Stegostoma tigrinum: one gene and its partners. The protein of the gene in region 3 binds, or shares a complex with, the protein of the main gene of each other region. Links are inferred from orthologs where the notes say so. Each region holds a gene or a part of one and is shown on either strand. Other genes may lie near its edges.

Region 1 (6,887 bases), on a different chromosome or scaffold from region 3:
TTTCATTTTAAGAACAGTGCAACAGGGGACCCCCATGACAATACAACTTAAAATATCATTGGAAAAGCAGCACATTTTTATTTCTAATAAATATTTACAATTAACAACAAAGAATTCATTCAACGAAGCATCCAGCTATCAGTTCAATGATTTTAAAGCAATCACTGAATGTTACAATCCTTTGAGTATAGTCTTTTTCAATTTTCATTATGCATAACATTTGTTTTCTAGAATATAGCATTGAAAACTTGTTTGAATTTTGTATCCTAGATATTATAATAGTACTGTATATAGTGGATCATATAAATTCTTTCCTGATTGAATGGAATATGTTTTAAAAAACTCAATATTTTTTATCATCCTGAAAATGTAATGAACTTCTCAAATTATTAAACTAGCACTATTTTCATCCAATGACACTGATAAAGTGCTGGACATTAATAAAACCAGCATTTTCAAAATTAAAGCATTTTTTTGGACAAGGGCATCAGTCGGAATGTAAAACAGAAATACTAATAAAGCAGTTTTAAGTATACTGCAAACCATGTACCTAAAGAAGGTAATTTTTAAAGTAATTTAAAAAATAGGTTTCTTTTACCCTGAGGTTAGGTAGACGTTATACAAATACAGTTTTGTACTTTACAGATCATCTATTTGCTTATGCTTATATTTTATTGATTGAAATTAATCAACAGCAATTACTATCACTGCATGCTGGATAATTAACCCCAGGGGTTTCATAGCTGAAATAAAAATTTTCATTGTGCGGAGCAAAAATCACCAAAAGCTCTAATGAAGAACATAATTTGAATCCAACTGAATGAAAACTTTAAGTAAAGACACCACATTTCATTTAAAATTTGATCTTAAAACATTTATGATGTATTACCACACTAAAAGAATAGGCAAAAAAATATAGTTTTAATATTGTGCATTTATTGTCAGGTGGCCCATCTTCTAGATTAATCATCAAATAGCAACAGCATCAGTAACAATTGAAGCATTATGCCATGACTGATTACTTGTTTTATTATAGCTGTAGTTGAAAATATTTCTGGATGAATGATCACAAATCCATTTTGAAAGAACTAGAGTATGTTGTTACAGATGTTTTTACTTAGTCTTATCAATATGTGTCACTTTAGAAAACATCAGTACGCCATCATGCTTCTGTTTAAAATAGAACCTGAAGGAAAATACACAATCTAAAAATTGAAATAACATTTTACATAAATATATTTCAATGCATTGTTGATTCTTTTCATCCCATAACAAAATATGATACTAAGATCCAGTGGAGTTCTAAGTATAAAATCATGCTCTTTCATATTCATTTTAGCTGTGAATAATAATAGTAGCTAGTTTTTATAAGATATGGTTTAGGATTTTTAATGTAGTGAAATATGATTGAGTGGTGAAAATATTCCCAACTCTGATATTAATATGCCTGTAGGTATGTGATGGCCTCAATGTAGAAATAGATAGTTAATTTTCCATCAAGAGGCTGCTTCAAACTGAAATATCATCATACAGCATGTATGGCTAAGTATTTTAAATAATAACCTCTGTACAGTTCATATATATGATCACTGAGGTGTTCAGCCTACAACTATTCTTGTGTGAAATATGGTTGATATGTTTTTTTACAGGGTGTGAAGATATCTCAATTCATTGACATATCCAATTAAATGCACTCAATAGAAACAGACAAGTCGCTGAGTGATGTAATATTTACAAGCTACAAAATTTCAAAGATATCAAATTTAATGAATGCAGAAAAAGTACCATGAGAAAATAAGAACAATGTGCACTACAGGTCACTGATATGTGGTTAGTCATAACCATTGGGTTGTTTTTCTAACTATTCCTTATTTGTGGAATTTGTTCCAATATTAAATCTAGACGCATCACTAAAGACATACAAAGTTGAAAGCTTTCTTGTACCATATACTTAATTCTTTCCAAGAATACAGTTGCAACAATCACATCGTCTTCACTGCTCATTGCAAAATCACTTTCGGAAGAATATAAGTATGTACGTATTTCTATAATGTTATCATCTATGTTGGTTCAATGACTGACAGCAACCTAAATGTAAAATATATAGGTCAGCAACAAACTACACTTTTGACATTGAGCTACACTGTGAAACCTGAATATTATCATAAATTGTGGGCAATTCTTTACCTTTTGTAATTATGAATTCCTCATTTTCTATTCATTTTTAAGCTCATTTTTATCCCTCTCCCCATGCATTGCATCATTCCCTGCCGAAAAATCGGTCAGTCTGTCTTCTACCAGGCATCTGCCAACGTCGCTGCATAACTGCCTGCTCAAAGGTGTAAAAAAGTAGCTTGGACTGATTCGCCCTTTGATGTTGCTTTCCTCTTTGAGGGAAACTGTCTATCTTGTGTTTTCTATTCACTTACGGCACAGCGGAGATTTTGCACTTGCCATACAGGAAATACATTTAGAAGGGAAAATGCAGAGGTTCTCCTGGTTTAAAAATTGAAATAAATATTTACATTTTAAAAGTTCCAATTTTAAAGCATAACTATCTTGCGTCCAATATAAACCATTATTGCATGAAACATTACCTGAATTGTTATTGACTCACTTTAGGAATCAAATATTTGGAAAGAGCATTGTTTGAAATAAAATATTCAAGACAGCTGTTATCTAAATAAAAGATTATTACTATAAGCCATTTCAATTGTGTTATTGGGATTACATTGATTGGAATAAACGCAAAGGACGGTACTTCGACAGTTCTTTCCCACAGTCAAATATCAGGGAGTGTCGTCAATTAATACATCGAATTCTGAAGATAACCCCTCCATCCCATTTCACTGTCAAAATTGACTTCTACTGACATATTTGGCTGTATTCCAGTCTCCTCATTCTGTTATTTTCCAAAGTAATATCTGCGATCCTGGATATTATTACTGACATTCCATTTCCACAAATTGGGATACAAATTTATTAAGTACTTTATACAATGGATTTAATGTTATAAAGTAGATGTGAAATTCTGAAAGTTCCAGAATACCTCAGCAATCTTCTGGAATTGTTTAACTGTGAAACAGACGCCCTCACTCAATGAATAAATAAAAAGAGAACATGTATTGGGTTAAAAGGGGAAGGACCGACTTCAATGGGAGACTTCCAATCAATTCATGAGAACTGCAACAGTATAAACAAAGTAACAACACGCTGAAACACTATTTTGGGCTTTGATGAAATTGTGAAGGCATCATTTAAAAAAAAATCTGATTATGCAATGCATTGATGCAATTTCATTAAACTAAGGATTTAAGGAATTGGGGTTAGGTGTTCACCTGCTGACAAAGTTAGAGCCAGTGCACAGTTTCCACCGGCCACACAGGCCTGGTCAACTCTCCTGCCGGCGAAGGCGCTCACGAGCGCCACCAGTGGGTGGGCAACACTACAGCAACAACCTCGTCCCCCGTTTCCCTCCCATACCACCTTCCCAACCCGCGCACTGTCTCACCTCAACACCCCCAGGTCTCCCCACACCCCGCCACACTCACACCCCTTGCGCAGGCGCGGAAAGCGAGCCGGGGTGTTTTTGTGCATGTGAGAGACAGAGAGAGAGAAGAGCCGGTGGGGGCGGGGAAATGACACTTCGGTCCGGCAGCTCGTGCCCGTCGAGGCCACGCCCCCTCCTCCCTGCCCCAGCTCCGCCATTCGACGGTGGGATGGGGAGGAGCGAGCGGAGTGCGAGGAGCCTAGGCTTGAGTGTGCTGCGCGGGGAGGGGGAGGGCGCGCGTCGTCCATGTGACGCGGGCGCAGCCAATCCTTGGCGGGGGAAAGACGCCCGCCTCAGCGCTGTCGCCATTACGCTGATTGCCTATCTCTGTCTCTCTCCGTGTGTGTGTGTTATGTATGTATGTATGTATGTATGTGTGTGTGAGTGTGAGTGAGTGAGTGGGAGAGAGGGAGGAGGGAGGGGAGCCAGAAAGAGAGAGCGAGAAGAGCAGCAAGCAGCCTTCAGTGGATCACTGGCGGCGGCAACAGCAGTAGCAGCGAGTGATTTCCCCCCTTCTAACTTGGGAGGCGGACGACGACGTGAAAGGACAACACACACCGAAATTATCTATCTCTATATCATCATCAAAGCTTGGGGGAGCCTCCTGAATTAAAGCGGCGGACGTCACTCCTTCCATCGCTCTGGAGAGATTTTTAGTTATCGTTTTTAAAACATATTTATTCGTTATTTTTCCCACCCCCTCCTCTGGGCGGAGGAGGTTTTTTTCTGGTGAGGGGAGGTGATTGTTTCATCCCTCCCGGTTCTATCGAGATATTATTTTTCTTTGCAAGGGGAAAGCAAGACGGAATCTTTAATTCGACCTCCGGAGAGAAAGTCATGCACGGAGCATGACTGCAGCAAACTGGGTGGCCAACGGTGCTAGCTTGGAGGACTGCCATTCGAATTTATTCTCTCTGGTGAGTGTGAGAGAGACTGGAGAGAAAGAGAGAGGGGCCTTAGGCTGTGTGGGAGCAGCCATTTTCTGCTAATGGTTTAGCATAACCGTTTACATGGCCTTATTTTCCTGTCTGGAGTTTATTCCCTAACGCCCCCCCCAACTTATTTTTGAATATGTCCCACCTCTTCTCCCCCCCCCACCCCTCCCAAAAGCCTATACTACGTATTGCATATTATTGTTGTCTCTCAACGGAGCTGGAAGCTTTTAATCCACCATCTTGAACTGGAAAAATGTCTGCATATTTCAAGCCGAATTAAAGCATGTCTTTTTTTATTGGGGATGGGGGGTGAAGAGGTGGAGTTGAACGTAATCGCTACATGGCATCTGATACTGTTTGCCGTTTACATGTCATTTATTTGGCAATTTGTCTTATTACCACCGCTGTCCTCGGATTTTCCGGTGCCCGTTTTTTTAATGCTCCCGTGTGCAGTAATAAATCATGTCTCTTGTCTGAAGTTTTAATGTTATGTACTCTTTCTGCATTGGCAATGTAGTTGAAATTTTTCTCTCCGTGAATCTTCTTTGACTGCATCGTTCAATCCACAGTTTATTTTAATCTTGTCTTCATAATATTCAAAATATTTTAAACGTTCATGGTGCATTTCAGTTGACGCTTGGACATAACCTACAGTAAGGAAATATAAATTTTGCGGAAAGGCGTTCTGCTCTCGTGTGTTTATATTTTGTGAAATTACGCATCTTTAAAAATAGTATAAGATTGTTGAGTGCTTCATTCATATACAAGTACTCGTAGAAACACTTACTTTCACATTATGAAAATAATGTATTTCACATCTTTCCAGTGGAAGTTCTGCTATACTATTGAGGTACGTTTTGATCAATCAAGAGTTAATGAATCAATTTCCTCATTTGTATGTTATTGTTTTCCAAAAAAAAACTTCGGATACTGCAAAACAAAACAGCAGTTGCAAGAAAAACTCATGTCTGGTAACATTTTGGAGAAAAAGCAGAGTTAAAGTTTGGGTCCTGAAATGTTAACTCTGCTTTCTGTTGACAGATGCTGCCAAACGTGCTGAGATTTTTCCAGCAACTTCTGTTTTTGTCCATATTTTGTTTTGCAATCAGTGTAACAATTTAAGTATGTCTGTCTAAGTTCAAAATATCATCCTCACCATATCCAATAGATTTAGGTTTAATTGGTCCTTCTTAATTTTTTTTCTATCGAATTGTTTTTGATATGTTTCTCAACCAACAGGCTGAACTAACTGGCATCAAATGGCGTAGGTACAGTTTCCAAGGGCTAGAGGGCTGTGGTCCCATCATCTCAGCTCCAGCTCAGGATGATCCTATTCTGCAGACATTTATTCGATGCCTACAGGCCAATCTACTATGTGTATGGAGACGAGATGTGAGGCCTGAAGCCAAGGAGTTGTGGATTTACTGGTGGGGAGAGGAGCCGAATTTAGTTGATATAATTCATCATGAATTACGAGGTGAGTTCCATCTTTATCATATAAAATGGCTATACTTTTGGAATTTCCAAGATTGATTACTGTTGCTTTGGGATGCATAGGCTAAAAAATTAAAGAAGGATGTGTAATAGATCAAATCTTTAAGTGGACTTTATTCCCTTGCAAAGCCATCTCAATTGCTTAGTTGATTATTTCCAGGCTGTCTTTAAAAATGCTTTTTTATGACTGTTAATTTCAGATAGGCTCCTTTGCAAATATAAAATGTTTTACAGTAATGTTAAATTACAAGTTCCTCCTGGGATTTTCACCATAATTCATCAAACTGTTAGGGACTTTGAATGACATACCTTCCCTAGTAACTATGAAATCAAAATTTACATTGTTTGTGGTTTTGACATCTTGTGTAAGGGTGTGTGTATTGTAGTGTGCCTGTGTATAATGAAAATATTTTGTGTTATTTGTAAAAAAAAAGTAGAAATATTGAGTACTTGCTCGTGTAAATTTGTGTTGATCTCCAGTGTTTGGAATATTTTGGATACCTGCAGTTCAGGTAATGATGCATTGATTTAGCAGTGGCAGTGATTGGTCGTTTACAGCTTTTGGTCTCTGGAAAGATCCAGAGGGGCCAACTGCATGGTAATTTGACTCTGTCAGCAGGATAGCTGTATACTATTCACAAGAAAATTCTTAGGATTCTTAACTGTTAGTTCACATTCTCCTTTATGTTTTGAAATACTACAGTTTACTTGTTTCACATACATAATTTGCTATTACTACAGGAAATTATTTTGTGCTGTTTTGCAAGCCAGAAATAGCTGATGCTTTGCTTAATTTCTGTGAAAGAGTGAATGCTGATTTGCATATTTAAACAAATAGGTATCAAGTAAAATATGAATATGGTCTGCTTTGTGGAAATTTTTTGCATAGTGAATTTAGCAACCTGAAA
Region 2 (7,514 bases), on a different chromosome or scaffold from region 3:
AAGGATTTACACCAGCAACATTAATTGTATGTTCTCTCCACATACACCACTTGCCCAGGTGTGTTTCCAGCATATTCTGCTTTTTGCTAGAAAGGCAGATGGAACTTTTTTTCAAATATTTTGCCTTAGGGGTTTAGCTCTGGATATCTGATCAGTACTTTATTCATTTCAGCAGACAGATTAAACTGTTAACAGGTTAACAAAACAGTGGAATGAGCTATTTCCTATATCTGTTTTAAAGTGATACAAGACTCACTCATGGCATAGCTTTTGCTTTTCCGTTTTAAACAACCAATTAATTATCTCTAAGGCTCAGAGACAAATGTCAAGCCATTGAGTATCTCACCTGAAAGCCCGAGGAGATCCCACGTGGGACCTTTTGGGAAAAGCTTTTTCATGTTTATGGCCCATTGATAGTCTGTCCATCGCTCCTTCCAGGCCTGAAGAATGGCCTGCCTCAGGTTCACCACCTTCATCTGTCACTGCCAGGATAGGCAAAAGAACGGCAAAAATAATCAAATTCACCATGCCCGCCCTGCTAATATCATTAGGCATTACGGCAATGCCGTCAGGACAATCAAGGTGTCACAGACCCACAAAAATTTGTCAAGGCACTAAGCAATACCATGGCTTTGTGTAAATACAGCTACACAATGATTTGATCAGAATAAAAAACAATTCTGACTGCTAAAACTTTAGCAATGCAGATGTCAAATTCAGTAAAACTCATTTGTGGATGGCTAAAATGTTCATTTCAAATGAATGTGGAATAACACCAAGCAGTATTTAGAAATGCTTTGCTTCCAAATTTTGGTCTACCCCACAGAATTCCTTGAGGTGCGAAATATGCACAGTACTACTAACTGCAGAAACAAACTGAATCTATAACAATTTACAACAAAAAAGATTCCATTTGGCGCATTGCTCACTTCAGCAGTCAGTATTATGCTCAATGATCTATTCCTTCCTTTTGGTCCAGATCATCCTCCATTTAAAATTGTCAGTGATTCCGCTCTTTAAAAATGCAACTCCACTGCATTTATAGTAAAACACTTCTTGCTCCAGCTATTTTCCTTGAAGCCCACCTCTTTGGCCACGCCATTCTTCGCTCCTTTGTTCTCTCCTTCTGTGGCTCATCATCTATTTTCCCCATTAAGTTTCTGAAAGAAGCCTCGGGACTTTCTTCAGGTTCAAGGTGGTATCTACAGGCAACTTATTGGTACAGTTAACTAATGGAAAATTTGGTGTGAAAATGTACATGCCGACCCTGTAAATAACTGCTGCAAAACTGCTGCATGTATTGCAAAATTATCATTAGATTGCTGTGATAGTTTATGATTAGGTCTAGCATATGTGCCATTTGTGAGTAAATGGCAAGCTGTGAATTGAGTGCCAGATCCCTTAAGTGATAATAGGTTTGAGATGAAAGGTTCTTCCCAGTTAGATTTGATAAAAAGATGTCTGCATCTAAACTGGTGATCAATAATTAATCATGCACAAGTTAGAGTTCTTGCTTGATCTGGTGTCTATATACACTTAGATCATTTCATACAGGGTACCAGTTTATGGTGAGTTTGAACGGAGGTTACAGTCAATCGTGAGTTGACGTTTGATCTGAATATCAGTCGACATTGACTTCATGTTTGATCTGAATAGCAATCTATAGAGAGTTTATATTTGATCCGGTGGTAACAGTCTATAGTGGACTCACGTTTGATCTAGGGAGTCAGTCTATAGTGACTTCATGTTTGATCTGAATATCAGTCTATAGTGAGTTCACGTTTGATCTGAATATCAATCTATAGTGAATTCAAGATACCAAAGTGTAGAGCTGGACGAACACAGCAGGCCAAGCAGCATCTTAGAAGCACAACATTTGATTTGAATAACAGTCTATAGTGAGTTTATGTTTGATCTGGGCAATCAGCCTATAGTGAGTTCACGTTTGATCCGAATATCAGTCAAGAGTGAATTTATGTTTGATCGGAGGAGTCAAACTATTCTGATTTCATGTTTGATCTGGGGTGTCAGTCTATACTGAGTTCATGGTTGATCCTGAAGAAAGGTAATACTCAAAATGTTGACTGCTCCTTTCCTCCAGATGGTGCCTGGCTTGCTGAGTTCTTCCAGCCTCCTGTTTGTCTACCTTGGATTTCAGCATCTGCAGTTTTTGCGTCTCTATATTGAGTTCGTGCTGATCTGGGGAGTCACTCTATAGTCAGTTCGTGTTCGATCTAGGGAGTCAGTCTATAGTCAGTTCATATTTGATCTAAATATTAATCGAGGATGAGTTCACATTTGATCTAGGTTAACATTCTATATTGAGTTCATGTTTGATCTGGGGATTTGGTCAATAGTGAGTTGATTGGGACTCACTTGGGAGTTTACGTTTGATTGGGGGAGTCAATCTATTCTGAATTCTGAATTCATGTTTGATCTGGGGAGTCAGTCTATATTGAGTCCATGTTTGATCGTGAAGAAGGATAATACTCAAAACGTTCATTGTCATTATCACAGAATCCCTACAGTGTGGGAACAGGCTCTTCGCCCCAACAAGTCATCACTGGCCCTCAGAGCCTTCCCCTAACCTACACATACCTGAACACTACAGGGCAATCCAGCAAGCCTACACATCTGCTCTTTTCCTCTAGATGCTACCTGGCTTGCTGCGTTCTTCCAGCCTCCTGTTTGTCTACCTTGGATTTCAATATCTGCAGGTTTTTTTTCTCTATACTGAGTTCATTTTTGATCTTGGGAGTTAGTCTATAGTGAGTTCATTTTTGATATGGGGTCCTCCATTAACTACACAGTGTATTGCTAGTTTATGATTAACTAGAGGAGGAGCCAAGCTGCAAGATTGAGCCTCGATCCAAAAAGAAAGCAACTAGAATCAAACAATAAATGAAAGGTGTTTTACCTGAAATATTTCTGACTAAATCCCAAACTCAGCGCCGCTCGAAACGACTAACCCCTCAAGCAAAACACTCCGCCATGTTGCCCACTAACACCTACCCACCAACAATGCCGGCGGCAATTGGCAGAACTTGATTCCGGCCGAGCCAATGGAGTCAATGAGGTGGTGTCGGGCGTCGTACCTCCTGGGAGTTGTAGTTCAGAACCACCGAGGAGCTGCGGGAGAAGGGAGGGGCGAAAACTACAACTTCCAGAGTGCCCCGCGAGCAGCGCCCTGTCACCTGCTTTGGAAGCGCAGAGATGGTAAGTCAGGCTGTTTCTGCTGCTGAAAATCCATAAGATTTAGATTTAAGATAATATACGAACATTTATCTGTATATTTGAGTGTGTACACATATGAATGTGAATGGTATAAGTTTACCCATGAAATGCCGCTGTCTTGAAATTATATGATTTGTTTGGCAACCTATTAATGCTGGTTGGAATCCAAAGGTTATGCCTCATTCCTCCTTGAGCACTTGCATCTCTCCTGGGGCTGCTGTGTCTTTCTGACTCATTGGATTATAGTTTTTATACAGTTGCAGCATTGCAATCCTAATGCAGATTGTCCTGCCGCCTCCTCCCTAGGCTGCGGGTTGGCTGCGGTGACAGATGTTCTATCGATTCGGTCGAGCGGTACGTTTCCCGTAAAATGGGGTCAGCTTACTTTTTGGGATGGGAGCGTATATAATATTTCATTTAAACCCAATGAGTCGCGATTGCTCCCCCATCCCTGTCCCAGAAAGGTGATTACTCCCTTTATATGTGATAAATTTCGTTTACGAGAGAAATTTACAAGAGAGTTTTTAATACCATGAATTAAAGCCATGATTTATTCCTTCTCCATTCGACATTCAGAACTATTTATATGAACTCAATAACATGGGCTTCTTGCACGATATGTTGATTTATTTTCTTCCTAGCAACAGTAAAATGTATTTTTTTAACATTATTTTTTAAAAATCGAGTTAGTTATTTCCTATTTGTTTTTCAGTTTTCTGCCTTTTTCCCCCCCTCTTCTCAACCTCAATTTTTTAAAGTACAGCTTTCCACTTCCTCTTAAGATAGCAATATTTCACTAGGGACAGATTTTTGCCAGCCAATTCAGTTCTCACTTCAGCCTGTGCATTCTTCAAGAGTCGAGGGAAAGAAGCTCCCAGCCTTGTAACACTGAAGTTAATTGTCAGTGCAATTACCTATAGCCATGTATTTTTAAAACAATCTTCATTCATTGGATGTGGACATCATTGGCAAGGCTTGCATTCATTTTCCATCTGTAAATGCCATTGAATTGCATGGCTTGCTAGGGATATTTTATGACCTTGTTGAGACGGTCTTTTAATTCCAGATTTTTAAAATAAATTTGAATTTAACGTCCACCTGCTGCTATAGTGGGATTTCAGCCTTGATCCCCGAAGACTGAGTTCAGTCTCTGCATTACTAGCCCTGTGGCATTACCACTAAACCACTGCCTCTCCTGCACGAGTAGGTGTTTTTATCCAGGTTCCGGCATCAGGCAAGGCAGAAGTTTCTGCCAAGGTGATGCCAATTCCTACTTTTGTGTAATGATTTGCATTGTCTTTTGCAATGCCTTTTGGTTGAGATGTTAATTTGAGGCTGCCTCAAATGGTAATAAACTATTTGTCTGTGGTCAAGATAACAAAAGAAAGCAGATGATCAGGGTATGAACATGTCATTTCTTTAAATTTATTTTTATGGGATGTAGGCATCGCAGGCCAGGTCAGCATTTAGTGCCTATCCCTAGTTACCCTTGAGTAGGTCGTGGTGAGCTGCCTTTTTGAACTGCTGCAGATCATCTGCTGTAGGTTGACCCACAATACTGTTAGGGAGGGAATTCCAAGATTTAAGCCAGCATCAGTGAAGGAACAACGATATATTTCCATGTCTGGATGGTGAGTGGCTTGGAGCGGAAACTGCAGGTGGCGGTTTTCCCATGTATCTGCTGCCCTTGTCCTTCTAGATGGAAGTGACCATGGGTTAGGAAGGTGCTGTCTGAATTTCTGCAGTGCATCTTGTAGATAGCACACACTACTGCTACTGAGGATGAAGGGAGTGGATATTTGTGGATGTGGTGTCAATCAAGTGGGCTACATTGTCTTGGAGAGTTTGAAGTTTCTTGAATGTTGTTGGAGCTGCACACATCAAGGCATGTTGGGAGTAGTCAATCACTCCTGAAGTGTGCCTTGTAGATGGTGGACAGGCTTTGGGGAGTCAAAAGACGAGTTACTTGTCTCAGTACCCCTAACACCTGATCTACTTTTGTAGCCGCTGTGTTTATGTGGAAAGTCCAGTTACGTTTCTGGTCAATGTTAACACCCAGTTCTTGTGGAATCTTGCTGTGCAAATATTGCCTGTCAGATTTCCTACTTTGTAACAGATGCTGCATTTCAAAAGTAATCCATTGACTCTTCTTAATGCCAGTATTTATTTTCTGCCCTTGTTTTCAAAATAGTCTGTCATAGCACCAATTATGAAATAGTCACTACCGTTTCTAAGGTGGGTTGGGAGGGTGGAGGCAAACGCAATAGCTTGAAACCAGAAAAGTTACAGCAAACAGCCATGCAGACTGTCAGGAATAATGTGAGTAAGCAAGAGAAAATGAAAATGCAAGAATTAGACAGCAGGACATTCAGTATCTGGAAAGGAGGTTATGATATTGGGTGTGAGCTTTCACCACAGTAAGTACTAGGCGAATTCAGTTGGGTTATTTTCAACACATCTTATTGGAATGAGCTTACAGTAAAACACAACTGTTTGAATTTGCCACAAAATTAGTAATCACCTGAATTGTTGATTTGGTAATAGAATTTGAAGTAGCACACTGGCACAAAGGAGATTTGATCAAGATGTTCAGTGTCATGAGAGATCTAGGCAGAGAAGATGAGGAGAAACTCTTCCACTTAAGAAATTGAGAACAAGCGGGAACTGATTTTAAAGTATTGATTAAAAGAAGCAACAACATGAGAAATTTCATTTTACAAGGAGCACATGGCCTGGTCTGCAGTCTCAAACTGAAACTGGTGGAGGCAAGGCTCACTTTAAAGCATTCAAAAGGAACTTAGACTGCTTCCAGAAAAGAAAGAAAGGGAGAAGTCAGGAGTACAATGATCTGCTCATTCGGAGGTGCAAACATGAAAGGCTGATTGGTCTCCCTCTGTGTTGTAACAGTTCTGTCGTTTTGCTGTAGTTTCTGCTGGAACATGAGGCTGTACCTGACCTGGAAGCACTTGGCAATGATACACCAGGATGGAAAAGTTTTCCCGTTTCTCCGCATTTAAATCCCTTACCTGATCAGCCCTAAATAACCTCCAGATATGATCAAAAAACTTTCACTTTTATAGTGTCTTTAACATAATGAAATGTCCCAAGAAGCTTCATGGGAACATCACAATGCAAAGTATGTCACCAAGCCACATAAGGCGATGTTAGATCTGAATGGTAGGTTTTAAGAAGCGCCTTGAAGGAGGAGAATGAGAGGTGTAGTAGGAAAGCTATTCAGAGCATGGAGCTTTGGTGTTTGAACATATGCCACTAATTGTGATTAACATCATGAGATTTTCCCAGAACTGGGGAAAGTGCAGGTATTTTAGAGAGTTATGGGAATATTGTGCATATTGAATCCCTCAAGATCCATTGCAAAATCTAAACCTTCCAGAGTGGTGTGTTTCTTAGTGATTGTGCATTGCAAAAATTGCACTGGAGTGTGTAAAACCCATATGCTCTTTGAGAAGCCAGCTCCCTATCCTGTCCTGCAACATGTAATTGTCAAAGTATTCCGAGTCTGCCTTCAATTGTTCCCAAGCAATCCTCAATATTCTGAGTTACAAGAAGTGCTCACATGGGAGTCACCCCCAAATCTTCACTTTCCATCCTTCTTTAGAATTAGAATGGCCTTTATTGTCATGTGCAGTGAAAAGTTTGTAATATTGCCTCTGGTGCCACCTTAGGTACAAGGTTCCTTGGAACAGATACTTTAAGTATTGTCACAGAATTGAAATAGTAAAAAAAAGACTAGCATGGGAATACAACGTTTAAAAGTCCAGAATGACAATAAGAAGTTTATTTAAAGTACTCGAGTTATAGTCTTTTTCCACTGAGTCTGTGCCTGCCGGGCTTCAGAACATGGGGCCAGGCTACCTCCCCGCACCGGCCTCTGTCCAGGTCTTCCCTCCAGGACTCGTCCCCGTGGCCGGCTCTCACTCACTTTGCTCCCACTGCAGCCTCTGGCTGCACCTCCTCTCCCGTGTCTCAGACTTGCCTCCTTTTTTCAGGTAGTTTAAGCAGTTGAAAGTTGGGGGAAGGGGAAGTAAAATAAAAAAAGAGAAAGAAAAAGAAACTGGTGAGCAGAGGAGCTCACTTGGAGCATCTTACATGGCCAGTCTCTATCTTGCTCCAAATAAAAGCTTGATTTGGCTGCTGCAGCTTTAATTGTAGTTGAGTGCAGTTGGGGAAAATGAACTTGCTGCATGTATTGGTGAGGACTGGTTGGAGGTTTCCAGAATTTGAATTGTAATGAAACATTAATATCCCCCAGCTATACC
Region 3 (7,033 bases):
CGGCAGGGCTCAGTGTGGCTGTCTTCTCTGGGGTTGCTGGCTGTGGAGGTTGTGGGCGGAGCGATGAAGTCGTCGGCTGTGGGCGGGGTTCCGTCGGCCGTGGGCGGGGTTCCGTCGGCGTCGGCTGTGGGCGGGGTTTCGCCGGCGTCGGCCGTGGGCGGGGTTCCGTCGGCGGTTGGAGGATCGGGGTGGGTGGCAGCAGCTGCGGTGAGGGTGGTGTGTGGCGTGTTGTACCTGGACGTGGAGGTGGTGACTGCAGCAGCGGTTCCGGAAGTTCTGTGGCCGGCGGAGGCGGATGTGACGTCATCGGTGGGGTCTCCGGCCGTGTCCTCATGGTCAATGGCGGCGGGTGCATGGTGGGGGAGGGGCAGGGACAGAGTCGGGATTTGGGAGGCGCAGGAATCCTCTTGTGGGTGGCAGGGGCCAGTGAGTTGGTTGTACTTACGATTTTTGGTGTCCAGTAAAGCTGAGTGGAACTGGGTGTTCAGTCTGTGGATCTTGCGGAGGATAAAAAACAGCAGGGGTCCTTTGCAGGTCTGGGAGAGGGAGGCGCTGAGCTGGGGCAGGCTGGATTGCAGTGTGTGGAGGTGCCGGCGCATGGCTGCAAGTGTCTGTTTCAGGACTCGCAGGGAGAACCGCTTCTGAAGGGTCTGAATATTCTGGGTGTAGAGGTGGTCATGGTTGGGGCCAAATTGGGAAGGCTGAAATGTGGACTGTAGTCCCTTGGGGATGATCTGGTTCCGTAGGCAGGTGCTGAGGAAGGTGATGTGGCTGTGGTACCTGGTTTGCTTCAGGACATGGTCGAGCAGTTTCAAGGCCGAAGAGATTACAAGAGAGTTGCAATGGGAGAGAGATTCTCTGAGGTTGGTCCGGAGGGAGGAGGGTAACTTCTTCAGGTTAGGCATCCCTGGAAGAGGCTTCGCAGTGAGGTTAAAATAGTATCAGAGATAATGGGAACTGCAGATGCTGGAGAATTCCAAGATAATAAAATGTGAGGCTGGATGAACACAGCAGGCCAAGCAGCATCTCAGGAGCACAAAAGCTGACGTTTCGGGCCTAGACCCTTCATCAGAGAGGGGGATGGGGAGAGGGAACTGGAATAAATAGGGAGAGAGGGGGAGGCGGACCGAAGATGGAGAGTAAAGAAGATAGGTGGAGAGAGTGTAGGTGGGGAGGTAGGGGGGGGATAGGTCAGTCCAGGGAAGACGGACAGGTCAAGGAGGTGGGATGAGGTTAGTAGGTAGCTGAGGGTGCGGCTTGGGGTGGGAGGAAGGGATGGGTGAGAGGAAGAACCGGTTAGGGAGGCAGAGACAGGTTGGACTGGTTTTGGGATGCAGTGGGTGGGGGGGAAGAGCTGGGCTGGTTGTGTGGTGCAGTGGGGGGAGGGGACGAACTGGGCTGGTTTAGGGATGCAGTAGGGGAAGGGGAGATTTTGAAACTGGTGAAGTCCACATTGATACCATATGGCTGCAGGGTTCCCAGGCGGAATATGAGTTGCTGTTCCTGCAACCTTCGGGTGGCATCATTGTGGCAGTGCAGGAGGCCCATGATGGACATGTCATCTGGAGAATGGGAGGGGAAGTGGAAATGGTTTGCGACTGGGAGGTGCAGTTGTTTGTTGCGAACTGAGCGGAGGTGTTCTGCAAAGCGGTCCCCCAGCCTCCGCTTGGTTTCCCCAATGTAGAGGAAGCCGCACCGGGTACAGTGGATGCAGTATACCACATTGGCAGATGTGCAGGTGAACCTCTGCTTAATGTGGAATGTCATCTTGGGGCCTGGGATGGGGGTGAGGGAGGAGGTGTGGGGACAAGTGTAGCATTTCCTGCGGTTGCAAGGGAAGGTGCCGGGTGTGGTGGGGTTGGAGGGCAGTGTGGAGCAAACAAGGGAGTCACGGAGAGAGTGGTCTCTCCGGAAAGCAGACAGGGGAGGGGATGGAAAAATGTCTTGGGTGGTGGGGTCGGATTGTAAATGGCGGAAGTGTCGGAGGATAATGCGTTGTATCCAGAGGTTGGTGGGGTGGTGTGTGAGAACGAGGGGGATCCTCTTGGGGCGGTTGTGGCGGGGGCAGGGTGTGAGGGATGTGTTGTGGGAAATACGGGAGACGCGGTCAAGGGCGTTCTCGATCACTGTGGGGGGAAAGTTGCAGTCCTTAAAGAACTTGGACATCTGGGATGTGCGGGAGTGGAATGTCTTATCGTGGGAGCAGATGCGGCGGAGGCGGAGGAATTGGGAATAGGGGATGGAATTTTTGCAGGAGGGTGGGTGGGAGGAGGTGTATTCTAGGTAGCTGTGGGAGTCGGTGGGCTTGAAATGGACATCAGTTACAAGCTGGTTGCCTGAGATGGAGACTGAGAGGTCCAGGAAGGTGAGGGATGTGCTGGAGATGGCCCAGGTGAACTGAAGGTTGGGGTGGAAGGTGTTGGTGAAGTGGATGAACTGTTCGAGCTCCTCTGGGGAGCAAGAGGCGGCGCCGATACAGTCATCAATGTACCGGAGGAAGAGGTGGGGTTTGGGGCCTGTGTAGGTGCGGAAGAGGGACTGTTCCACATAACCTACAAAGAGGCAGGCATAGCTGGGGCCCATGCGGGTGCCCATGGCCACCCCCTTAGTCTGGAGTCAGTCTGATTTTATTTCTAAAAGTAGGAATTTATTAAAAGCCACATTGACAGACTGTCTATAAATTGTGTGCTTTTTGAACAAAATAGAATGTATATGCAAATGCAAATTCACCTCACAAATTTATATGTGAGTGTGTATGTGTATATGTATATGTTTGTGTTGGTGAGGGAGAGAGAGAGAGAGAAAGTGTGTGTGCGTGTGTGCGTGTGTGTGTGTGTGTCCAAAAGCACACAATTTATAGACAGTCAGTCAATGTGTCATTTTATAAATTCTTATGTTAGAAATAAAACCAGTCTGACTTCGAACCAAAACATGAACAAATTCTAAACACCTAACATGTATTGTCTGACCTAAAATGTCACCTCTTCTTTACACCGATAATATCTTTAGTTCTCGCAGGGAAGTGACTCGAAAGAAGTTTGGAGATTCACACATACATATTAATAAATTAAAACCTTCTAACTGATTAAAGATTTAACAGCATCTTATTGAATTGAATTGAAATGTTAAATAAAAACCGAAAGAACTGTGGATGTTATAAATCAGGAACAAAAACAAGGTTGCCTGAAAAGCTCAGCAAATCTGGCAGCATCTGTGATGTCAAAAACAGAGTTAATGTTTCGGGTCCAGTGATCCTTCCTCAGAACCTCAGAAGAGTCACCGGACCCAAAACGTTAACTCTGTTTTTTCCTTCACAGATGCTACCAGACCTTCTGAGCTTTATCAGCAACTTTGAATTGAAACATTTATTGTCACGTGTATTCAATGTAAAAATACACTGAAAAGTGTGTACCTTGGCCATACATACATGGCGCCATTCACATTAATTTTTGAATAAGAAAAAAAAAATAATTTGAGAGGCTTAACTTTCCTTGCAGGTTTAATACATCCTGATCAGTTGTGTGACTTTTTGATCTTTTATTTATAAATTCTGTGTGTGCGCGTGCGTGCGTGTACTTCTTTCTCACTTCGCCTGATGAAGGGGCCTGTGTCCCCAAAGCTTAGGTTTTCAAATAAACTTGTTGGACTATAACCTTGTGGCGCATGATTTCTGACTTTGTCTACCCCAGTCCAACACCAGCACCTCCACATCATAGTTTATTTCAGCCATTAGAAAAATAGTTATCTGGAATGTTGCCCCTGGTTATAGTAGGGAATTTATGTGGTCCAGGCCAAAATACTACATTTATCATCATTTGTCCTTTTAACCAAAATGCCTCTTCGGCTACGACAATCTCCACTAGCGCTTGGAGTCGGTAAATTCCGGTAGCGCCCGGAGTCGACAATGTTCGTCAGCACTCGGAATCGACAAATTCCGGTAGCGCCCGGAATCGGCAATGTTCGTCAGCACTCGGAATCGACAAATTCCGGTAGCGCTCGGAGCCACTCGTTGGGGCAAGCCGGCTTTCCCAAAGATGGCGGCGTTCGGAATATTGAGTTATGAGCACAGGCCGTTGAAAAGGCCTCGGCTCGGGCCGCCAGACGTTTATCCGCAGGACCCCAAGCAGAAAGAGGTAGGAAAAATCGTCGAGAATCCAGGGGAGGACGGCCAGTCACTCAGTAAGGCAGCCGGGCCGGCGGGGTGAGTAAGCCGGCGCGGGGAGCCGGGCCTAGAGCAGCGTCCATGTAAACAATAAACAGTCCGTATGTATGGGTGGACTTGGGCCTAGAGTAGCCTTGCAGACAGCAGCAATAAGCTGCTCTTGTACTGTCGGTCCCTAACCGTGGGTTGGTCACCCTGTCTCTGTGAGATAGAGTTTGGGCTGGAGCACAGCTCAGCCATTTTAACAGTTAACTACTGGACCGACCTATCAATAACACCTGGTTAATATGGAAATTCGTCATAGATGGTACAAATCTTCACTGTCTCTATCTGGGAGAAACCCAGAAGCAATCAACTTCCACAGTGTTTGCGATTGATCTTGAAGCTGATATATTTTTACTCTTAAAATAATCGGGAAATTTTGAGGATCTGTTGTGCTTCCACACTCAAATTACGCCACACTATATCATCAAGTACTTTTTCTTTTCAGTTAATGTACTAGACCTCAAACCTCAAAATGAGAAGCTATTTAAGATCACTGAACCACATTTTCAGCTGCACAACATACACCGTTACTGTCATTTAGATTCTTTTTGGCTGCCCGCTGAACTCCATGTCCTCCTTAATTAATTTTGAGACCCGTCCTTTCAAGTAACTCTTGGGCCTTGCCTGATTAAAGCTTTGCAATATTTTTTGGCCAAAAAGTCCCATTTAGAATTAATAATAATAATTTCTGGTAGTACTTATAAAGTTGGGCAGAGTTAATTTTTCAGAGTGAGATGACTTGTCCTGAAACATCAGTTCAGTTTCTCTCTCTAGATACTACCTGATCACAGTATTTCCAACACTTTTGTTTTCATTTTTGATTTCCATCATTCAATATTTTGCTTTTTTCTTCCCCTCATGTACGACTTTGATTTCCTTGAATCTGTTAGAATCTTGAGAATTTTTTGGAACTGTTTTTAAGAAAGGATGGTGGAAATAAAGTGCTTGAATATTTTTAAGACTGAGGTGGATAGAACCTTATTAAGCAAGGGTTGAAAGATTGCCTGGCGGGAATGCGGATTTGAGGTTGCAATCCGATCAGCCATGGTCTTATTGAATGCTGAAGTAGACATGAGGGGCTGAATGGCCTGCTCTTGCACATTGTGGTGTGGGAATAAAAGGGCAATTATCATCATGTTTCTTACCCTCTTCATTGTGGATTCTTTCTGGGTACTGATCTTTTAAAAACAAAAGACGTGGTACAATTTCATTGGTACCTGTGATCCTCTAGTACTTTGCCCAAGTGTCTGTTGTTCATGTAAGCTTAGTGTCTACTGACAGGTTCGTTAACGAGCAAGATTGTGCTTGCGGGAGGTGAGGGGGGATGGGGAGTTCTAGGCTTTGGGACAGGGGTTGGGGAGTGTGGGTGCTCTGCTAGTGAGGAAAGATATTGGCTCAAAACTGAGGTGATACTGCTTTCAATCATGCTGTTGTAACCTCCAGCTGTTATTTGTCCAACATTGTCTTTATCAGTTCTTTGATCTTCACCAGATAAAACTCTGACTTACTTGAAACTTCAGTGTTTGCAAGCTATTTCAGATTAAGTCGACTCACCAACTACTTATGTTTCTATCAACCTTTGTTGGTTTCTTGTTCACCAATACACTGATTTCATTATCTATTCTATGATTACAAATACTACCACTGATTCATACCGGCCTAGCTCTAGTCTTACATTCATTATGATCTTCTATGTTTGCAGTTCTGTTTTGCTGTGCATCTCCACCCCACCATTCGTACTGAACATTTGAGCTGGCATTTATTAATGTTTAGGAGGAAGGATGTGAACGAACTGCTGCCAAGTTTGTAGACTACACAAGAATAGGTGGAAATGCAGGTTGTGAGAGGGATGCAAACAGTTTATAAAGAGATATTGATAGGTTAAGTAAGTGGGTGAAGTTGGCACATGGAGTATCATGTGGGAAAATGTGAAGTTGTTCATTTTGGAAGGGAGAACAAAAGAACAGAATAATTTAAAGGAGAAAAATTGCTGAAAGCTGCAAGGCAAAGGGATTTGGGGTACTTCTACATGAAACTAACATGCAGGTGCAGCAGGTAATTAGGAAGGTCAATAGAATATTAGCCCTTAATGTAGAGGGGTTGAAGTACAAGGGTAGGGAATTCTAACTGCAGCTGAATGAAGGCTGAATGGTTGGGACTCTACTCACCAGAGTTCAGAAAAATGAGTGGTGATCTCATTGAAACATAAAGGGATTGACAGTATAAATGCTGAGAAGATGTTTCTCATCATGGGAGAGTCTGAGATCAGAGGGCATAGCCCAGAATAAAAAGATGCCAGTTTGAGATGAGGAGGAATTTCTTTTCTCAAAGGGCTTAGTGTCTTTGGAACTCCTTGACCCAGAGAGCTGTGGAGAAAGTGTCCCTTGTGTATAGTTAAGGCTGAGATAGATAGATAGGTTGATGGGGAAATCAAGGGCTACGGGAAAAATGCAGGAAAGTGGACATGAGGAATGTCAGAGATAATGAAATGTGAGGCTGGATGAACACAGCAGGCCCAGCAGCATCTCAGGAGCACAAAAGCTGACGTTTCGGGCCTAGACCCTTCATCAGAGAGGGGGATGGGGTGAGGGTTCTGGAATAAATAGGGAGAGAGGGGGAGGCAGACTGAAGATGGAGAGAAAAGAAGATAGGTGGAGAGGAGAGTATAGGTGGGGAGGTAGGGAGGGGATAGGTCAGTCCAGGGAAGACAGATAAGTCAATGAGGTGGGATGAGGTTAGTAGGTAGGAGAAGGAGGTGCGGAGTCCATTGGGGATGATCCGGTTCCATAGGCAGGTGCTGAGGAAGGTGATGTGGCTGTGGTACCT
Region 4 (7,159 bases), on a different chromosome or scaffold from region 3:
TATAATGACTGGGTACAAAATTAAGACACTTTAACAATTTCTTTTTCCAAAAACAAGGGTTATGAAATTTTTAAATGGCCACTTAAGCAGGCATTTGAGTATCAGTTTAATTCACCATTTGAAATTGCATCTTGAATAACTCCCTCAATCATGCACTGAGAGACAGTCTAGATTGCATACCCAAGTTCTGGAATGGTGCTTGAACCCACAACTGTCTGATCACGTGAAATTGTTTCACCAGAAACAAACGGGCTTTAAAGCAACAGTATGTAAATCTGTAAACATCTCACATAACAAACAATATATTCTTAACCTTATGACCTTATCCACAAGCAAGGACAACTGCAGACTGTGAAACATTTGGCGTTGGCTTGAAGATTAGGAAAAATTAAATGAGCTGTCTTTTCATAAACTATAAAAGATCAAAATGCTGAAAACTGACATTGCAGGATGGCACGAAATTGTTTTCAAATGTTTAGGAGGGTTTAGCAAATAGGATCATAAAGAAATTAGACGGATATACCAGAATTATTTGTTACCCAGCTACCGTTTGCCAAGATTAAATTATTTTAGATTACAAACAATGCTCTAACTTCAAAATATAGGTGCACAATCTTAAAGACATTCATGGTGTAAGAGTTAAAGCAGATCTTGTTGAATGCATCTTATTTTTCTTTCATTGCAGCTTATAACAGCAAAAGATACAGATGGAATAGACTAGAGCTTACCCGGCTATTCACAGCTAACCTGGGGTTTCAACTCCATTTTCCTGCTGACTAACTCCTATATCCCTCATTTCTGAGGCATACAGTCTGTCCATCTCAGCCATAAAACATATTCAACCTTGCAGGTTGCACATTTTGAGTGGAAAATTTTAAGAGTCACAAGAAACTTCTTCTCACCTCAGTTCTTAACAACAAGAGCTTTGTACATTTCAAAGCGATCATCTTTCATTTGCCTCAACTCCAAAGTATGTAGGTCCAATTTACTCAGCCTCACATCATAGGACAATCTCTCATTGTAGAGACCAATCTAATGAACCCTTACAATTCTGCCTCCAACACAATACAGACATCAATTCACTATGTTCTAGGTGTGGTTTCACCAAAACCACATACAAGTGGAATAAGACTTCCTCATTTTTATTCTCAAACTCCTTGCCATAAAGAACAACATGCCATCTGCCTTCCTAAACGTTTGCTGTTCCTGCAAGCTAAAATTCTGTATTCTTTGTACGAGTATACCCAGTACCTCTGAACATGTACACTTGTATGTTTCATGCTTTTTTAAAAAATTTTGCTTTTCTATTCTAAAAATGAATAATCCACAATGTTGATTCCCACTTACATTAAAGCAATGAGGAAAGAAGATAACTTATCAATTTGACTGATTTCAATTTTGTCACAATAATAGCTGTAATTACAGAAAAAAGTAGGGTTATTCCAGGTACAGTGAGAATTTATTTTAAATGTTTAAAAAAGATTCTGAAGCTCCCTCACTACGATAAGTGCATCTGTGGTGTATTTCTCAACTGGGGAGGTGAGAAGGTCTCAGGTCAACCCTCATTCTATGTTGAATTTGCATATCTTTACTGTACTACGAGGTGCAACAGTATACCAATATCCCAAATAGAAAGGCTAAAATCAGCTGAGTTTTTCTTCCTTAATGGTATGATAATGACTCCAACTATAAATCTATGTGAATGTCCAAATCTTGCCTTATTCTTCTCCACAACTGTAAGACAGTCATAACAAACCAGGAGGGTGCAATCGTTAGTGCTGACAAAGAAAATCATCCACAGGAGGAATGAAAACTAAAAGCAGCTACTGACCCTAACTAGTGTTTGTCAAACACAGCAACATCACCCCAAAAAAATTACAAAAATAAAACTCACATTTTGTGTAAAGTCAAATTCTACAACATGAATTCTATTCCCACTCTTATAAACAACAGCTCGTTTTAAAAAAAAAACCTCCAACAGGTAAATGCCAAGGTCAGAATTAATTTCAGAGTTAGCATTTGAAACCAATCTAAATGCCACTGGAAATCCTGCTGGGGGGGGGGGGGGGGGGAAGGGAAAGAGTGTGGCATTTACATGCATTACTTAAGATTTGGAAGAGCTTTTTAAAGTACTCGTCATTACATATCATTTGAATATCAATAAACTTATGAAATATATCACCATGTGTAACTTTGCCACGAATGTATTTTAAAGGTCGCAAACAATTCAATGAAGATGTCAATCCAACAATAATCAAGAAAACAATTTAAAGTAGGTCCATTAATATTTCCAGCTCTATCCAGACTCATTAGTTTAAAAGTTAATTGAAATGAGAAATAGTAATTATGAAGGATGCATACAAGTTCAAAGGTTTCACGACCAAATGGTTTACTTGACACCATCCCTAACAAAGGCAATAATCAAATATTACTCTATAAAAATACAGTAAAGTTGGTTTCACTCAAGTGCTTTTGCACGTATTTAACCGCAAAGACTCGAAAAGCTGCACCAGACAAGCAACATACTTTACTTCAAAAACAGGTTGCGCACGACAAAGTTATTGGCAGAAAGAACTCAGCTTCGCTCCTTCGCCAATTAAAATCCAAGCAAGAACCTGCATCAAGAATGACCAGCGTGGCCTACATGCTCTTGAAACCTTTACCTACCCGTCTTTCCGTTTGGCTTTGTATACATGACCATAAGTGCCTCTTCCAACTTTACAGCCTTCATATTCAAACAGGTCCTCCACTCGTTCCCTCTCTGTCGTCAGCTTCATCTTGAAATCATAGTCCATTTTCGAAGCTTTCCAATCTATTTTGTTTTAATAGTTGTATTGTCTAACTGAAGCCGACCGCCTCTCTTGCGGGTTCACGATATCGCTGGGTGACACTCGGAGGCACCATATAAGCCGCTGGTTGGCCTGTTGACGTGGGATGGTTGCACGAGCCGTCGCTGCGATCACCCCCTCACCGCTCGCTACCTCTACACAACGCCGGTATCACACATCAATCCCACCTACGGCATTGCCGTAAATTGTCGTGAAGAAAATGCACGCCGCCACTCATTGTATGCCGTTGCCTAGCATATCTCGTGCATGGGTGCTCGCACGCGTGAAGTGTGATGCAAGGTCCTGTGTACGAGCATGTTCGGAATGGATTGTCTAGCGTCCCCGGGATGTTAGGAACATGATAATATGCCGAAGTAATTCCAATAGGCATTTGGTTACTTCAGATTTCATGGCACATAAATAAATGCTGAGCCACATTCGCGTCGAATGAAACCAAAAATATGCCCGTGGGATCCACGTGAATGTGACAAATTAGATCCAAAATGAATTGGATCCGTTATGAGGAAGGTCACCAGACCCGAAACGTTAACTCCGTTTTTTCCTTCACACATGCTGCCAGACCTGCTGAGCCTCTCCAGCAATTTTGTTTTTGTTTTAGATTCAAAACGAACTTCGTGGCCAGCAGCGCTGTGAGGGGCGAAGTCTTTTGACTGGAAGCATGTGTCCATTAGGTGCTGGGTTCCTTGGCGTTGGTTGTGCACCATAATGATCTAGCCTTGAATGTACAGTAGAAGGTAGAATCAGTAAGTTTGCAGATGACCTGAAAATTGGTGGTGAAAATACTTGGAAGGAAAACCTTAGACTACAGGATAATATGGTTGGGCTGGTCACATCAGCTGAACAGTGGCAAAGGAATTTAATCTTAAAGAGTATGAAGTGTTGCATTTTGGGAAGACTAACAAGAGAAGGGAATACATATTCAATGGTAGATCCTAGCAAGTAGACAACCAGGAACTTTGGTATGCTTGTCCATATACCCTTGAAAGCAGCAGGACAGGTAAATAAAGGTGGTTAAGAATGTGTGTAGGTTACGTACCTTCATTGGTCAGGGTGTTGAATACAAGAGGAAGGAGATTGTGATGGAGCTGTACATTATGTTAGTTAGGCCACAGCTGGAGTACTGTGTGGAGTTCTGGTTGCAACACCATAGGAAAAGTGTGATTATTAGAGAAGATGTAGAGTAGATTCATCAGGATGTTTCTTGGCTGGAGTGATTCAACTGTGAAGAAAAACTAGACAGTCTGGAGTTGTTTTCCTTGGAACAAGGAAGGCTGAGAGCAGATATGTTTAAGATATACAAGATTCCAAGGGCAGAGATAGAGTAGATAGGGAGAAATAGTTCCCCTTAGTAGATGTGACGATAACCAAAGGGCAGAGATTTAAAGTTTGGAGCAAGAGCTTTTTAGGAGATTTGAAGAAAGCTTTTGTTTCATCCGTAGAGTGATGGATATCTGGGACATCCTGCCTGAAAGTGTGGAAAAGGAAGGAATTATCAAGTATTAAAGAACTATTTTAATGAGCACTTGAAATGCCATAGTATATGACTGTGGGCCAAGTGCTGGAAAATGGAATTACGGTAGATGGATATTTGATGACCAGGTGGACATGATAGGTCAAAGGGTCTCTTTCCTTGCTGTTAATACTCTGACTTTATTTTTAAAAAGTCAAAGGAAATTTAACTTAAATGACAAGATTTTGAGCTGTATCGCTCCTGTGGACCTGCACCCCCTAGATGCCCACTGGTCACACAACAGCTTGACCGCATGAGCAAAAGTCTTTCCCCAAGATAATCCACATGTGGAGAAAGCCACAGAGAGAGAGGGAGGTAGTATCCATTTGTTATGAGGGAAAATGTAATATGTTATTTGAGAACTTGGAGTCTGAAGTGAGGGGAAATGAACATTAGATATTAAATGAAAATCTGACTTGTGCAGTTCAAAACATTATTTACAAAAAGGCCATGCGATTTCAGCTAAATGACCAGAATTCTACAAAGTTGTTTTGAGTTTTATGGCCAACCGAGAAAGGAGCCATAAGTGTTTTTGTACAGGAGGAAAAGGCCTGTAATAGCATTGATGCTGTTGTTTACAGTTTCCCAGCAGTTGGGGTTGGGGAGAAGTCCTGAGGTACTTAGCTCCAGAGCATAAAGCTATGGAAGTGTCAGAGAAGAAAACATCCTAAAAGCCTATTTCAACACATGAGTTTAATCAACCCATGTTAAGTAACCGTGTGCTGAATTAGCAGACTTTTTTAAGGATCTCAGAAAAAACATTAATAGGAAAAAAAGGTGGAAACTAACAGAAACTGAAAAATTTCATGAATGTGCAGAAATTTACCAAAAAAAACGATTAGAACTTATGCCAACTGAGCAAGAAGCTTTAATGTGGAGATTGGAGTGATTCTTCACTGAGATTTAAGTGCCTGTAAGAGTACTGGCAGGATAAAAAGGATGAATCTTTCTTTCTGATGTCTGTAATTACAACATTCTAATAGTTCCTATTTATTTTTATTCTGTGCAGTAAATGTTGTTTGAAGTCCATTGGGCGGACCCTCATAAATAAATTCATGTGACTGACCGCCATGTGAAACAAAAAGAAAATAGTAAATATAAGGTTTTTCAAGCCAGGCTTCACTCTGGGAACTGATTTCTCTAGCATTATTGTAAGCTGGAATCATAACACTGGATCATCGCATTGGCCACACACAGGAGCAGACTAGTTGTTGTATACACTCTTGTGAGTGAACATGAACAGGCTTTATTAAGTGTAACAATTTACAAGAATTGGGGCCATCTGGAATCCTATGGACCCAGGCTCCTGTTCCATGTGATCAGGCATCATTATGGTTTTGCGCTTTCAATTCTGCTAAGTAGCTATTCTTCAGCCAGTGTGTAATTAACTCTTTATTCCACATCCATGAGAAGGATCTCTGATTTGCCCATCTTCCACCCTAGCCAGACCAAAGGTGCTTAAGTTTTATTTTCATGACAGACAAGATGGCAGTTCTATAGAACAAGAAATTCAGTCTACCAAAATAATATACAAAGTGTGGATTCTTCTTTTTCATGGTGATGGGGAGAAGCAAATTTAAATAATCGCATTTTTGGGTTCCTATCAAACCTTCAACAATAGCAATTGACATAAAATTAAGCGATCAAAAGCAACTGATTGGCTAACAGACAGTCCCACCATCTCTATTATTCGTGAATCTGGAATTAAGAACTGAATGATGACCACGAATCCATTCTTGATTGTTGAAAAACCCATCTGGTTCACTCATGTCCTTTAGGGAAAGAAACTGCCATCCTCACCTGGTCTGGCCTACATGTGACTCCAGACCCACAGCAATGTGGTTGACTCGTAAATGCCTTCTGGGCAATTAGGGCTGGGTAATAAATGCTGCCTAGACAGCGATGCCCTCATCCCGTGAATGAATAAAGAAAATAGAATACTTTAGCCTGGCCACCAATATATGAGTATAATTTGATCAATGAACAATAGATGTCGCAGTATAATAGACTGTTCTGCTACATGTTTTGCAATATTTATTCTGAGACCTTGGCTAACATTAATATAGTGAAAGTATGCTCTGTTCTTGTCGTTCAGCCCTAAAAAGTCTCAAAAGCATCTGCTAACTTTATTGCTGCAATTTGATGCCCAAATTGAATAATATTTATTTTTATTCCTTCACTGGATCTACCCATCATTCACTTGGCCAGCATTTATTGTCCATTCCAAATTGCTCACTCTTAATTGACCAAGACTGCACAGAGACTAAATGTCTATATAAAAGAGAAATCATAACTAAGAGAAGTAAGGATACAAATCTATTTGACAATTAAATATATGACAAGAACGAGGAACCATGACATAAGAATGAACACCAGGAATACCTGGGAATGATCTACAGTGTTGAAATGTGATTTTCAAATGCCATTCTGCAATGAATTATCATAAATGGATTTTTTTTTAAACCACAGATAACACGAAACATTTGGAAGGAGAAGGTGGTAATGTTGACCAGGCAGAAGAAATTGTATGAGTCACAATGAACTTCAGCCCAGTAATGATTCTTTGTTCAAGAACTCATTAAACTGGACAGCTTTGGATGCTGGATGCTAGCCACAAGTAGAACGGTTAAAATGTTGCCTAATTATTTTAAATAATAAGGACTGTAATTTGAGGTTCCATGTTTGGGATGACAATGTTTTGAAGTCATTGAGTGATTCCTAGTAAAACAGCTGAGGTAAACCTCTTTATCAGCATGGTACAGTGTGAAGTGAAATAAGCGGCTTGGTCTACAGTAATGTA

What was found.
Region 1: med12 (region 3) and mediator of RNA polymerase II transcription subunit 13-like share a complex: the UniProt entries of both Homo sapiens proteins name them as parts of the mediator complex. The link is inferred for Stegostoma tigrinum from reciprocal best matches to the Homo sapiens genes MED12 and MED13L.
Region 2: med12 (region 3) and med24 share a complex: the UniProt entries of both Homo sapiens proteins name them as parts of the mediator complex. The link is inferred for Stegostoma tigrinum from reciprocal best matches to the Homo sapiens genes MED12 and MED24.
Region 4: the proteins of med12 (region 3) and cdk8 are in contact, whole or in part, in a cryo-EM structure (PDB 8TQ2), measured with the Homo sapiens proteins. The link is inferred for Stegostoma tigrinum from reciprocal best matches to the Homo sapiens genes MED12 and CDK8. Residues at the interface, in NP_005111.2 of Homo sapiens: Pro26, Gln27, Gln31, Glu33, Asp34, Leu36, Asn40, Val41, Lys42, Gln43, Gly44, Phe45, Asn47; in NP_001251.1 of Homo sapiens: His143, Ala144, Trp146, Phe180, Asn181, Ser182, Pro183, Pro186, Ala208, Arg209, His210, Thr212, Lys213, Met273, Pro274, Pro320.

Annotation. Positions count from the first base shown.
Region 1 is NC_081379.1:33,662,098-33,668,984, reverse strand, and holds the start of mediator of RNA polymerase II transcription subunit 13-like, read left to right. Parts: upstream 1-3,883; 5' UTR 3,884-4,398; coding exon 4,399-4,467; intron 4,468-5,724; coding exon 5,725-5,962; intron 5,963-6,887. UniProt on the Homo sapiens protein: Component of the Mediator complex, a coactivator involved in the regulated transcription of nearly all RNA polymerase II-dependent genes.
Region 2 is NC_081384.1:10,521,543-10,529,056, forward strand, and holds the start of med24 (mediator of RNA polymerase II transcription subunit 24), read right to left. Parts: upstream 3,013-7,514; 5' UTR 2,918-3,012; intron 483-2,917; 5' UTR 477-482; coding exon 347-476; intron 1-346. UniProt on the Homo sapiens protein: Component of the Mediator complex, a coactivator involved in the regulated transcription of nearly all RNA polymerase II-dependent genes.
Region 3 is NC_081368.1:38,216,646-38,223,678, reverse strand, and holds the start of med12 (mediator of RNA polymerase II transcription subunit 12), read left to right. Parts: upstream 1-4,011; 5' UTR 4,012-4,034; coding exon 4,035-4,133; intron 4,134-7,033. UniProt on the Homo sapiens protein: Component of the Mediator complex, a coactivator involved in the regulated transcription of nearly all RNA polymerase II-dependent genes.
Region 4 is NC_081359.1:77,361,819-77,368,977, reverse strand, and holds the start of cdk8 (cyclin-dependent kinase 8), read right to left. Parts: upstream 3,016-7,159; 5' UTR 2,796-3,015; coding exon 2,668-2,795; intron 1-2,667.